3 linked regions of the Callithrix jacchus genome follow. The protein of the gene in region 2 purifies or fractionates together with the protein of the main gene of each other region. This does not show direct contact. Links are inferred from orthologs where the notes say so. Each region holds a gene or a part of one and is shown on either strand. Other genes may lie near its edges. The genes, in order: ABI2, WASF2 and CYFIP2.

Evidence for each region.
Region 1: the proteins of WASF2 (region 2) and ABI2 purify together in Homo sapiens (affinity purification with mass spectrometry; 3 studies listed by BioGRID and IntAct, counting the BioPlex papers as one, with this or other methods). This does not show direct contact. The link is inferred for Callithrix jacchus from reciprocal best matches to the Homo sapiens genes WASF2 and ABI2.
Region 3: the proteins of WASF2 (region 2) and CYFIP2 purify together in Homo sapiens (co-immunoprecipitation; 3 studies listed by BioGRID and IntAct, with this or other methods). This does not show direct contact. The link is inferred for Callithrix jacchus from reciprocal best matches to the Homo sapiens genes WASF2 and CYFIP2.

What each region holds. Positions count from the first base shown.
Region 1 is NC_133507.1:124,709,481-124,713,137, reverse strand, and holds part of ABI2 (abl interactor 2), read right to left. Parts: intron 1,667-3,657; coding exon 1,493-1,666; intron 1-1,492. UniProt on the Homo sapiens protein: Regulator of actin cytoskeleton dynamics underlying cell motility and adhesion. Functions as a component of the WAVE complex, which activates actin nucleating machinery Arp2/3 to drive lamellipodia formation.
Region 2 is NC_133508.1:64,081,506-64,085,162, forward strand, and holds part of WASF2 (actin-binding protein WASF2), read right to left. Parts: intron 3,035-3,657; coding exon 2,917-3,034; intron 1,916-2,916; coding exon 1,785-1,915; intron 1-1,784. UniProt on the Homo sapiens protein: Downstream effector molecule involved in the transmission of signals from tyrosine kinase receptors and small GTPases to the actin cytoskeleton. Promotes formation of actin filaments. Part of the WAVE complex that regulates lamellipodia formation.
Region 3 is NC_133503.1:20,165,358-20,167,865, reverse strand, and holds part of CYFIP2 (cytoplasmic FMR1-interacting protein 2), read right to left. Parts: intron 920-2,508; coding exon 752-919; 3' UTR 1-751. UniProt on the Homo sapiens protein: Involved in T-cell adhesion and p53/TP53-dependent induction of apoptosis. Does not bind RNA. As component of the WAVE1 complex, required for BDNF-NTRK2 endocytic trafficking and signaling from early endosomes.

The sequences.
Region 1 (3,657 bases), on a different chromosome or scaffold from region 2:
GGGCAGCCTCTGGCCAACAGCCAGTGAAGAAACCGAGGCCCTAGGCCAACAACCCACAAGGAACTAAATCCTGCCAATAGCCACGAGTGAACATGAAGTAAAGTCTTCCTCAGTCAAGCCCTGAGATCACTGCAGCCTCAGCTGGATACCTTGACTGCAGCCATGTTAAGAATTTCTGAATCAGAGGGCCCAGGTGGGCCATGCAGAGAAACTGGAAATAATGTATGTTCTGTTTAAATCACTAAATTTTGGGAATAATTTGTTAACCCACTAAATTTGGGGAATAATTTGTTAGGTAGCAATACATAAGATAGTTTTCATCAAATGTGGAAACATTTTTTTCTATGATGGTTTCATATCTTTTTTCTTTCACATCTCCTGGGGACTCCAATTATACATATATAAAGACTAGTTCATCTTGTCTTACATTATCTATTGCTATGTTTTCCCTTTTGCCTTTTTTCCCCCCTTTTTTCTCTGTGCCTTATTTTGGATAGTTTCTATTGTCATGGCATCAAGGTTGCTAATACTTTCCTCTGCAGTGTGTTTTATCTCCAGAAATATGTGGGTTTCCCTTTCTCTTTTTAAAGATATACTCCACGTCTCTCTCATGTTCATGTTTTCTTTTACTTTCTTGATCACATGTGACATTTATAGTAGCTACATAAGAGAAAAAATCATTTCCTTCTTTCTGGGGGTCAGAGCCTACCAGCGCCTGTTGTTCAATGTCTGAAAACCATTATTTTGCGGGGCTTTTTTTAAAATTCCTGTTTTAGAAGGGAGGGTAAACCTGATTACTGTTGCTCTCTCTTGGCTTTAAGTGGAAGACTATTTATTTCTTTATAAAAGTCCTCCAAGTGATTCTAATGTGTAGCTAACTTTGAGACCCAGTGGGTTAGAAGCTTTGATTTTCTTAAAAGAAAAATTCCTTCCAAACAGGACACATTTTTTTCTGAGCTGATTAGTCTTGATGAATTTGAAAGCTTGTGTCCCAAAGTGCTACACTGTAGTTAGCTAATATCAAAGAAACTTTTCACTAAAAGAAATGTCCAATATTACTTGGCAAAGAAACTGAGAAACCATTATTCCGTGGAACAGAGTATTTCATATGGAGACATTTAAACTGAAGTATCCAATTAAAAGGTGACACAAAGTAATGTTCTAAAGCATGGAGGTAGGAATAATGAGGTGAAAAAAATAATCTTCCTGAGGCGAAAGGAAACAGAAAACTACTTACAGAAACCAGAAAAAAACATGTCCAATAGGAACAATATAGGTAACCATCACTTTTTAAAAATCAAATATTCACAGAATTTTACCAGTGTAACTTTTAAAATCATGAACCTTGTAAACTAAATAAAAAGGCACAAATACAAATAAATAAAACTTCACTTAGCAAAAAATAAACAAGATTCTCTTCAGTACCAGCAAATTTCATTAGTTCTATGTAGAGGTTTCTTCCCATCTGTCCAGATACCCTTCTGAACCTTACCCTTTTCCAAGTAAGAACGTGGAGCCCACGGCGGGTCCTCTTCAGCATAAGGATCACTATACTCAACCACAGCTGCTTCCTCCTCTTCATAATCTTCTGGGGGAGGAGGAGGTGGGGGAGACTCATCAAAGACTGGTTCTTCCACAGGTGGCGGTGGAGGTGGTGTATCTGAAACTAAGAACACAGCAGGCTGACAACAAAACTATACATTATGCGAAGTTTAGTATTTCCCATCCAAGCTTCTAGGTTCATGGAATATAAACCTAGACTTGAAAATATTCTTTCAAAAAATGAGTGAGCAAGAGAAGTCTTCCCACCAACTATAATGTTCCAGAGCTCCAAGAATGATATTCTCCCTCTCTTGCCCTTGGATTAGTGCTAATGGATACTGAATAAAGTTTAGACAAAAATAATTATTAACTGAGCCTCTGGAACCTGTTTATTCTAATACAAATCCTCTTTTCAAAGAGATCAGTATGACTGGGCGCAGTAGCTGGCACCTGTAATCCCAGCACTTTGGGAGGCCGAGGTAGGTGGATCACCTGTGGTCAGGAGTTCGCAATCAGCCTGGGCAACATGGTGAAACCCTGTCTCTACTAAAAATATAAAAATTAGTTGCACATGGTGGCAGGTGCCTGCAATCCCAGCTATTCAGGAGGCCAAGGCACAAGAGTTGCTTGAACAGGCAAGATGGAGGTTGCAGTGAGCTGAGATCACGGCACTCCAACCTGGGCCACAGAGCAAGACTGCATCTCAAAAACAGCAGAAACAAACAAAACAGAGATCGGTACAATATAGCTGAGCTTTACACTGTTTTCAAGGAAAAGTTATCAGAAATACTGATCATGAAAACCATATTTCACAGATTTTTAAAATCTTTTTTCACTTAAATTAGAATGAATCCAGGGAATAGTAAAATTTTAGTAATCCACTACTTTCTTCTTAATGAATTTTTCTAATACCAAATTCAAGAGGAAAAAAATAACAAACTTGGTTAACTTCATCTATGAAGATGTTTGTTTACTTATAGAATTTGTTCTAGTTCAGACTAATTTATCATTTAGAATTTCTTCAGGCTAAATGTCCAAGCATACTAGCAGAGTAATTTAAAACATCTCCCATGGAGTTCTGCTTCCACAGCTCTGATACCGATACACAGTAACATCAAAAAAATTATCTTCAAACTCAGAGACTTAACCTTTCAAAATAGTTGGTACATACTTGAGCACAGCTGAACACAATGAAATGAATAAACCTGTGTTTATCAGCTCCTCAGGTTTAATGAACAGCACTAATTCTCATTTAGGAGGTACCAGTATAGATGTGATCCTCTGAGCAATCCTATTTATTTAGTATTTCTAATGTAAGTCTACTAATTGAATTAAATGGATTTTTGAAGATTGCTGATTCCTGGTGGGAGGCAGCCACAGCAACACCATGCTTCTGTCTTATCTCAGTATTCTTCCCATCTGCTGTGCCCCCTCTATACTGATCTACTTTATAAACTTTAAAACTTCAGTCATTAAACAGAACATCTTTCATCCTAATAGTTTTTATTAACAAACAAAAGATATAGATATGTGACTTACTATATACTTGGGTGAAAAAGCAATGTGTCCTATTTCCATTTGTAAGATAAAAAGACGGACTTTAAACAATTGCACAGAACCACAGATCCAAAGGAACTTTAAAAACAATCACCTTGAGAAATGACACTACAAAATTACTCAAAGATGCTTCCACTGTTCATTTTTACTTTCCTTGTAACTGCCAGTTTAATAAACCACCACAATTGACTTAAAACGTTCCATGTTCAGCTAGACCTTTGTAATGCATTATTTCATTTCATCTTTACAGTGGGAGGTGGTGTTTTTCATTTTATAGATGTGGAGACTGGCTTTCCAAGATTAAGTATTCCAACAGAAAGTAGGTGGAAAAAATTCCAATGCCTATTATCTTAAAAGCTACACTACTATGAAATGACATAAATTCAAAAACCTTCAAGTATGCTTCATACTATTTATTCAGCAAACATTAACTAATATGGCTAGATATTATGCTCAGCACTGAGAAAAGGGCAGTGGGTAGAAGTCATGGAGACATGAACAACGAAACCTTCATTTGCAATTGAGTGTAGTGTGTGTTTTAAGGTACTACAGGAACAC
Region 2 (3,657 bases):
AATACCAGAGTCTGTCCTGTGGCAAAGGGTGAAGCCAAGTCCCACAGGCTAGTGAGTTAAAAACATGTGACTGGCACACAGCCTGATTTTGAGGTCAGCAAGCCTCTGGAGAACTCGAAGGCCAAGGAGGTACTGGATTGCAAAATGAAGCTCAGGATGAATGCAGGGTGCTATGAGGTAGTAAACGTGGTCTTTCTGCCAGGTCTCTTATCAAACAAAATGAGCTGACGATTAAAGTAGGGTGCTAGGGCTTGCCTCATGAAAACCTGTCCCTCAGTGCACTGGGCCTTGGGTGAATTTGTTCTGGGTGAACAACAACAAAACTTCAAACAAGCACAAATACACAAGCATCAGCTAGCAAAATCTGGCCTGCTATGCTCCACCTCCCGCCCTCTTTCCACCATTGTTGGGTTCTAAAGAACTCATCTAAAACAGACCCCAGGGAGAACAGAGTTGGAGGAAACTAACTGAATCTAAAGATTCTCTGATGTGGAAAATCCCCAAGGCCTGGAGCCCTGGAGCCTTGGCACGTCTCTTTATAGGTTCACCAACAGGCACGTCCAGATAGACTAGCCATGCAGCCCAACTCCAAACCACCCGGACAACAGGAAAATGGGAGGCAAATCCTCATCTTCCTACTCCACAAAAAAAAGACACACATGGGTAGCTGGCATTCTGAACACGCAAGCTTCTGGCTTTAGAGTCACTGAACCTGTGACAACTGCCTGTCTGAACAGGATGGGTCCATGGAACAAAATGGCCCCCTTTACTGGGAGGTAAAGGTAATGAAGGTACCCTCAGGGGTGATTTCCTAGAAAAGAAAAAGATTCATTTTTTCCTTTCACCGTCTTCATCACTCTTTAAAATAGATCTCTTAATCCATGAAGAACAAGTGTCAGAAGTGTCAAGATTTTTAAAAGTCAAGATTTTCATGTAGAGTTATTTCTAAAAGCTAGAACAACTAAATTCTTTCCTTTTATCATTCCTAGACACCCAGCACGGGCTGGCATGGTTCTCTGACAGCCATGATGCAATGTATTTAGAGAAAAAACCAGGGTGACATTCATTCCAAGCAGTCATGGTGACTTGGCTTTGAATGTCAACCAGGTCAGATACCAGAGTAAGTATCAAACCAAGCTTTAAAACCATCTTTTTCCCCCCTTTAAACCTCCAGTGTGACTTGGTATCGGGAAATGGGGTCAGACTGACACCTCTTATTTCTTCGCAGAGATATATAGCCTCAATACTGGCCGAGCAACCTTTCCCACACTGTCTATGAGGTTTGCATTCAGTCCCTTGGCCAGCCTCTCTCCCAAGACTGACAAAAGCTGACTGAAAAGTTGCTTCAGTGATGTGAACAACTTCCTTGCCCGGCCCTCCCCAGCCCTCAGAGTGAAATGCCCAGTTCTTAGGCATGACCTTCAAATCAATGCTCTGGAGGCAAAGGATTCCCAAGACCACTTTTCTTCCCTTTCCAGTCTTTCCTCTGGGGCCCTGAGATGTGTCAGTGTCTCGCAGAATAAGGGCACTAGGAGCCATGGGCTTTCTTTTCCAGACCACTCCAGTCACCTCATTTAAATTGCTGAGTCTCTTGATTTATTTAGCAAATTTTAATCACCAGATGGATGCACTTTAAAGTAGCTGATTAATAGTGGTATTGATCTAAGCCACACAGACAGACTTCAGGGGGTGTGAAAGGTGTCACACCAGAGCTGTCAGACTGTTGTCCCCAGGTCCCCAGCCCCTTCAAAGAATGCTACCAACAGCACAAAGGCATCACCTACCCAGAAGGCCCCAGCTTCTCTTTGGACTCCACAAATTCTTGTCCCATCTTCATTTTCTCCCACTCTTCCTTACGTGTCTTGATTTTACGTGGGTTTACGTTCCCTCGATTTGGATTATCTTTCTTTTCTTTCTATAATGAAAAGAACAGGAAGGTCTTTGCAGAACATTTTCCAAAGTTATTCATTAGAATTCTACCCATCTTCATGGATGCATATCTAAGAGATGATCTGCCTAGACAACATACAATAACTACATAACTTACAGAATTACTGGGTTTGCCGGGATCTAGAGGCCATCTAATCCACTCCATCCCCTAGGTGAAACATTTGCTCAATCTCACATTCAAATGCCTCCAGCAATGGGAAACCCACTACCTCTTTTCACTCACATTTTTGAAAAGCTCTAATTGCTAGAAGTTAGTAAACAGCTATTTATTATTTGCTCAGCCCCAAAGATCAGTCAAGAGAGATGAGATGTAATGAGACCTACGGTTATCTGGGCATATATAAGGAAATAGTTAAAAAAAAATCAATGAAGAATTTTTCAGCCTGTGCAGCTGCTCTTGCCCCTGGCACTCTCTTGGGCCTCCCAGCAGCCATGCTTAATGGGAATGAGGTTGCAACTGGTAGGTCACATACATATCAGGAAGACTCTATGGGGAGGAAGAATCTCCAAAACCTACATCTAGTCCCTCACCCTGGCCCCACCCAACCAGTAGTGAAGGTGTTAAACTGCTCCTGTTGCAAATCAAACACTGCAGAACCTTGTGCTAATCTCTGAGAAATGAGCTGCAAAACTGGAAGGGAAGGGACTAGCCTAGCTTGCGTGTCCAGCAGAGTCAGGTGCAAATTGCAAGAGAAATAAATGGTGAATAGAAAAGTCAATTTCTAAAACTCAGCCTGAATATACTCAATTGTTAATAGTGCTGGGGGGAACAAACACATTTTTGGTGTGATTTATACTTTCATCTTCGTTGTGCTTGGTGTGGCCACATTTTTTTAAGAGTTTCACCTGGCATCCAAGCAAGCAGCCACTCAAAATGATTACTTCACATAAGACTGGCTTCCTTTTTATCCCTCCCTCCACAATCGTGCCTACTGATGTGGAGAACAGAGGCCCCTTTCCCCTCACCCTATGCTTTCTCTTCTCTTTCATGATATCCTTGGTGTCCTGCAGCATCTTCTCCTTCCAAAGATCAAAGAAGTATGAAGGGTCTGTGTAGAATTTGAGTGCCTCTTTTCCATCATCCCTGGGATAGAAATGAAGACAAGTAGCTGTCAGTAGACAGATGAGCTCCCAACCAAATCCAATATTCCAAACACCTACCAGTTAGCAGTTTTTACACCAAGGAATCAAGAAGTCATTTGAATCGATTGCATATTTCCTCTCCCATACCAGCATTTCAATGCCCCTGAATGGCACCTCTCTACTTATCAGGCTTTTTAAGAACTTTAGCCTTACTTTCAATTCCTGGTAGATGAATTTGCATTGTCAGGGCAAGAACAGGTGATAGCAGCAGGGATTCTGATTACTTCTAATGATCTGCATGGCCACAGACATCTCCCTGAGGATATTCAGATATCCTGGTACATCAGAGGGAATTTCTACCACTGTTTCCTCTTTTTGCACCAGTTCCCCAGGACTCTCTAGGAAGCATCAGTAGCTTTCCACCCACTGGAAATCTGTGTATACATGTGGAGGTTCATGTGTATGCATATGTACACATATATACATGAAAAGTGTGTGTGTGTACAGCTGTTATTTCTCTGCACACACAGATAAGAAACCACAGCACTCCACCTTCTTGCTCCCTTCTAAAATAGCTTAGCGCCCACACACACCCCAACCACAAGGGGGCTCCAGTGAAAAAAG
Region 3 (2,508 bases), on a different chromosome or scaffold from region 2:
CGTCTCACCGTCTAGCAGCTGAGATGGCCTGAAAGCATCCTGTTTGGACCGTGAAACTTCTGGCCGTGTTCATACATACTGCTTCCCCACAGCAGGCCTGACCAGTCTCCTATCCCACCTGCATACAGTATGATACACCTGTGAATGTTTTTTGGCCCTCTCTCTAGGACTTCCCTGAGAGGGGAGTTAGGATGGGGCTTTGGGAAGCCTATGTGGTAGAATCCCTGGCAGCCAGAGTGGGAGAAGATACCCCCTGTGGCACTGCAGGGAGGGCACCAGGAGAGATTAAGTGGTAAGCTGAGGTACGCCTTTCAGGCCAGGCTGGCATCTCTGGGAAGGCCATATCTGTTCTCAGTCTGAGACTTCAGTCCTGGGGTCAGACATGGGCACTGGGTACGAGGTGTCCATCTTGGAAGGAGCTCTTGGGAAGCAACCACAGATGGGTGGGACGATGGGATGGAGAAAGGGTGAAGGGTTGAGGGGGCAAGAAAAGAAAAAGCACACACTGCCCTGTTTTTTCCTTTTTTTTTTTTTTTTTTTTTATATATGCTATGGAGAAACCAGCATGGAGATGTCATGGGAGAGCATGCACAGGCCCCGCCCTAGGGAGTGGTGGAGATGTGTTTGGGGAGGTACTTGTTTCCAGGTCCATCCCACACGCTGTCCAGTCGGATCCTGTGGCAGGCTGGCTGTGGCTTTCTCTCTCCTGCTTTTCTTCCTCCTCCAGGTAAGGGTTTGCAGGACCTTCTGCTCAGCAAGTGGTGGCCAAGGACTGGTGGATGGGTGGCTGGAAGCAGCGCACATGCTCCACGGTAGAACTGTCTGTCTCCACGGACTTCATGTACTTGTTCAGGATGGCAAAAACCTCATTGTTCAAGATCTGGTACTTCCTGATCCGGTCGGCCATCTTCTTGAGGGGCTACAGAAGGAAGGGGATATTCGAATTAGGGCAGGACAAAGGGAGTAGAAAGAGAAGGGAGTAAGAGAAGTCAGTGAGGTCCAGAGTCCCCTGCATCAATGATCATATCACTTAAAGTCCTTTAATGGAATCCCCTGGATCTGACAATCAAGGACGGTGAAAACCTTCTCCAAGTCTTAAAACCATCTACAGAGCTACAGTAATCAGAAGTGTGGCACTGGCATAAAGGTAGACATACAGATGAATGAAACAGAATAGAGAGCCCAGAAATACACAATTATATGTATGATCAAATGATTTTCAACAAGGGCGCCAACACTGTTCAATGGGGGAAACAGCAGCCTTTTCAACAAAAGATGCCGGGAAAAATGGATACACACATGCAAAAGAGTAACACGGAACCCTTACCTTATACCATATACAAAGAATTAACTCAGAGTGGATCAGAGACCTAACCATGAGAGTTAAAACTGAAACGTTTAGAATATAGGGGAAAATTTTAATGATATGGATTTGGCAATAATATCTTGAGATACGGTATCAAAAGCAAAGGCAAAAAATTGGACATCAAAATTGAAAACTTTTGTGCATCAAAGGGACACCATCAGAATGAAAAGACAACCCATAAAATAGAAAATAATCACAAATCATATCTAAGAAGTAATATCTAGAATACATAAAGAACTTCAACTCGGGAGCTGCAGTGGCTCTGGCCAGTTGTCCTGGCACTTGAGGAGGTGAGGCTATGAGTTCAAGGCCAACCTGAGCAACATAAGAAGCTCTCATTGATTTAAAAAAAAAAAAAAAAACTTCAACTCAACAAAAAGGACTCAATTAAAAAATGGGCAAAGGACTCGAATAGGCACTTCTCCAAAGAAGATATACAAATGGCCAATAACACATGAATATAGCACTTGGCACTGACAGTCATTAGAGAAATTCAAATTAAAACCACAACATGATGACTTTTTCACCCATCAGGATGGCTATTATTAAAGAATACGTGCTGATGAGGATGTGGAGAAACTGGAACTCTTGTGTACTACTGGTGGGAATATAAAATTGTGCAGCCACAATGGACAACAGAATGGCAGTTTCTCAAAAATATCAAATTACCATGAGATCCAGCAATTCCACTTCTGGGTATATAGTCAAAAGAATGGAAAGCAGAAATTTAAAGAGTTATTTGTACACCTATGTTTCATAGTAGCCAAAATTAACCATTTTCAACAATAGCCAAAAGGTGACAGCAACCTAAGGGTCAGTGGATGACTGGACAAACAAAATGTGGTCTGTACACACCATGGAATATTACATAGCCATGAAAAGGATGGAAATCTACATACACTACAACATGGACGAACCTTGAAGACATGCTAACTAAATTGAGCCAGTCACGAAACACAAACACTGTATGTTATATGAAGTACCTAGAAGTAGTCAAATTCATAAGGTAGAATGATGGTTACCAGGGGCTGGGGAGAAAATGTGGAGTGATTTTTTAATAGGCCCAGAGTTTGAGTTGGGGAAAATGAAAAAGCTCTGGAGAGGGATGGTGGGAACGGTGGTACACTTAGTATACTTCATGC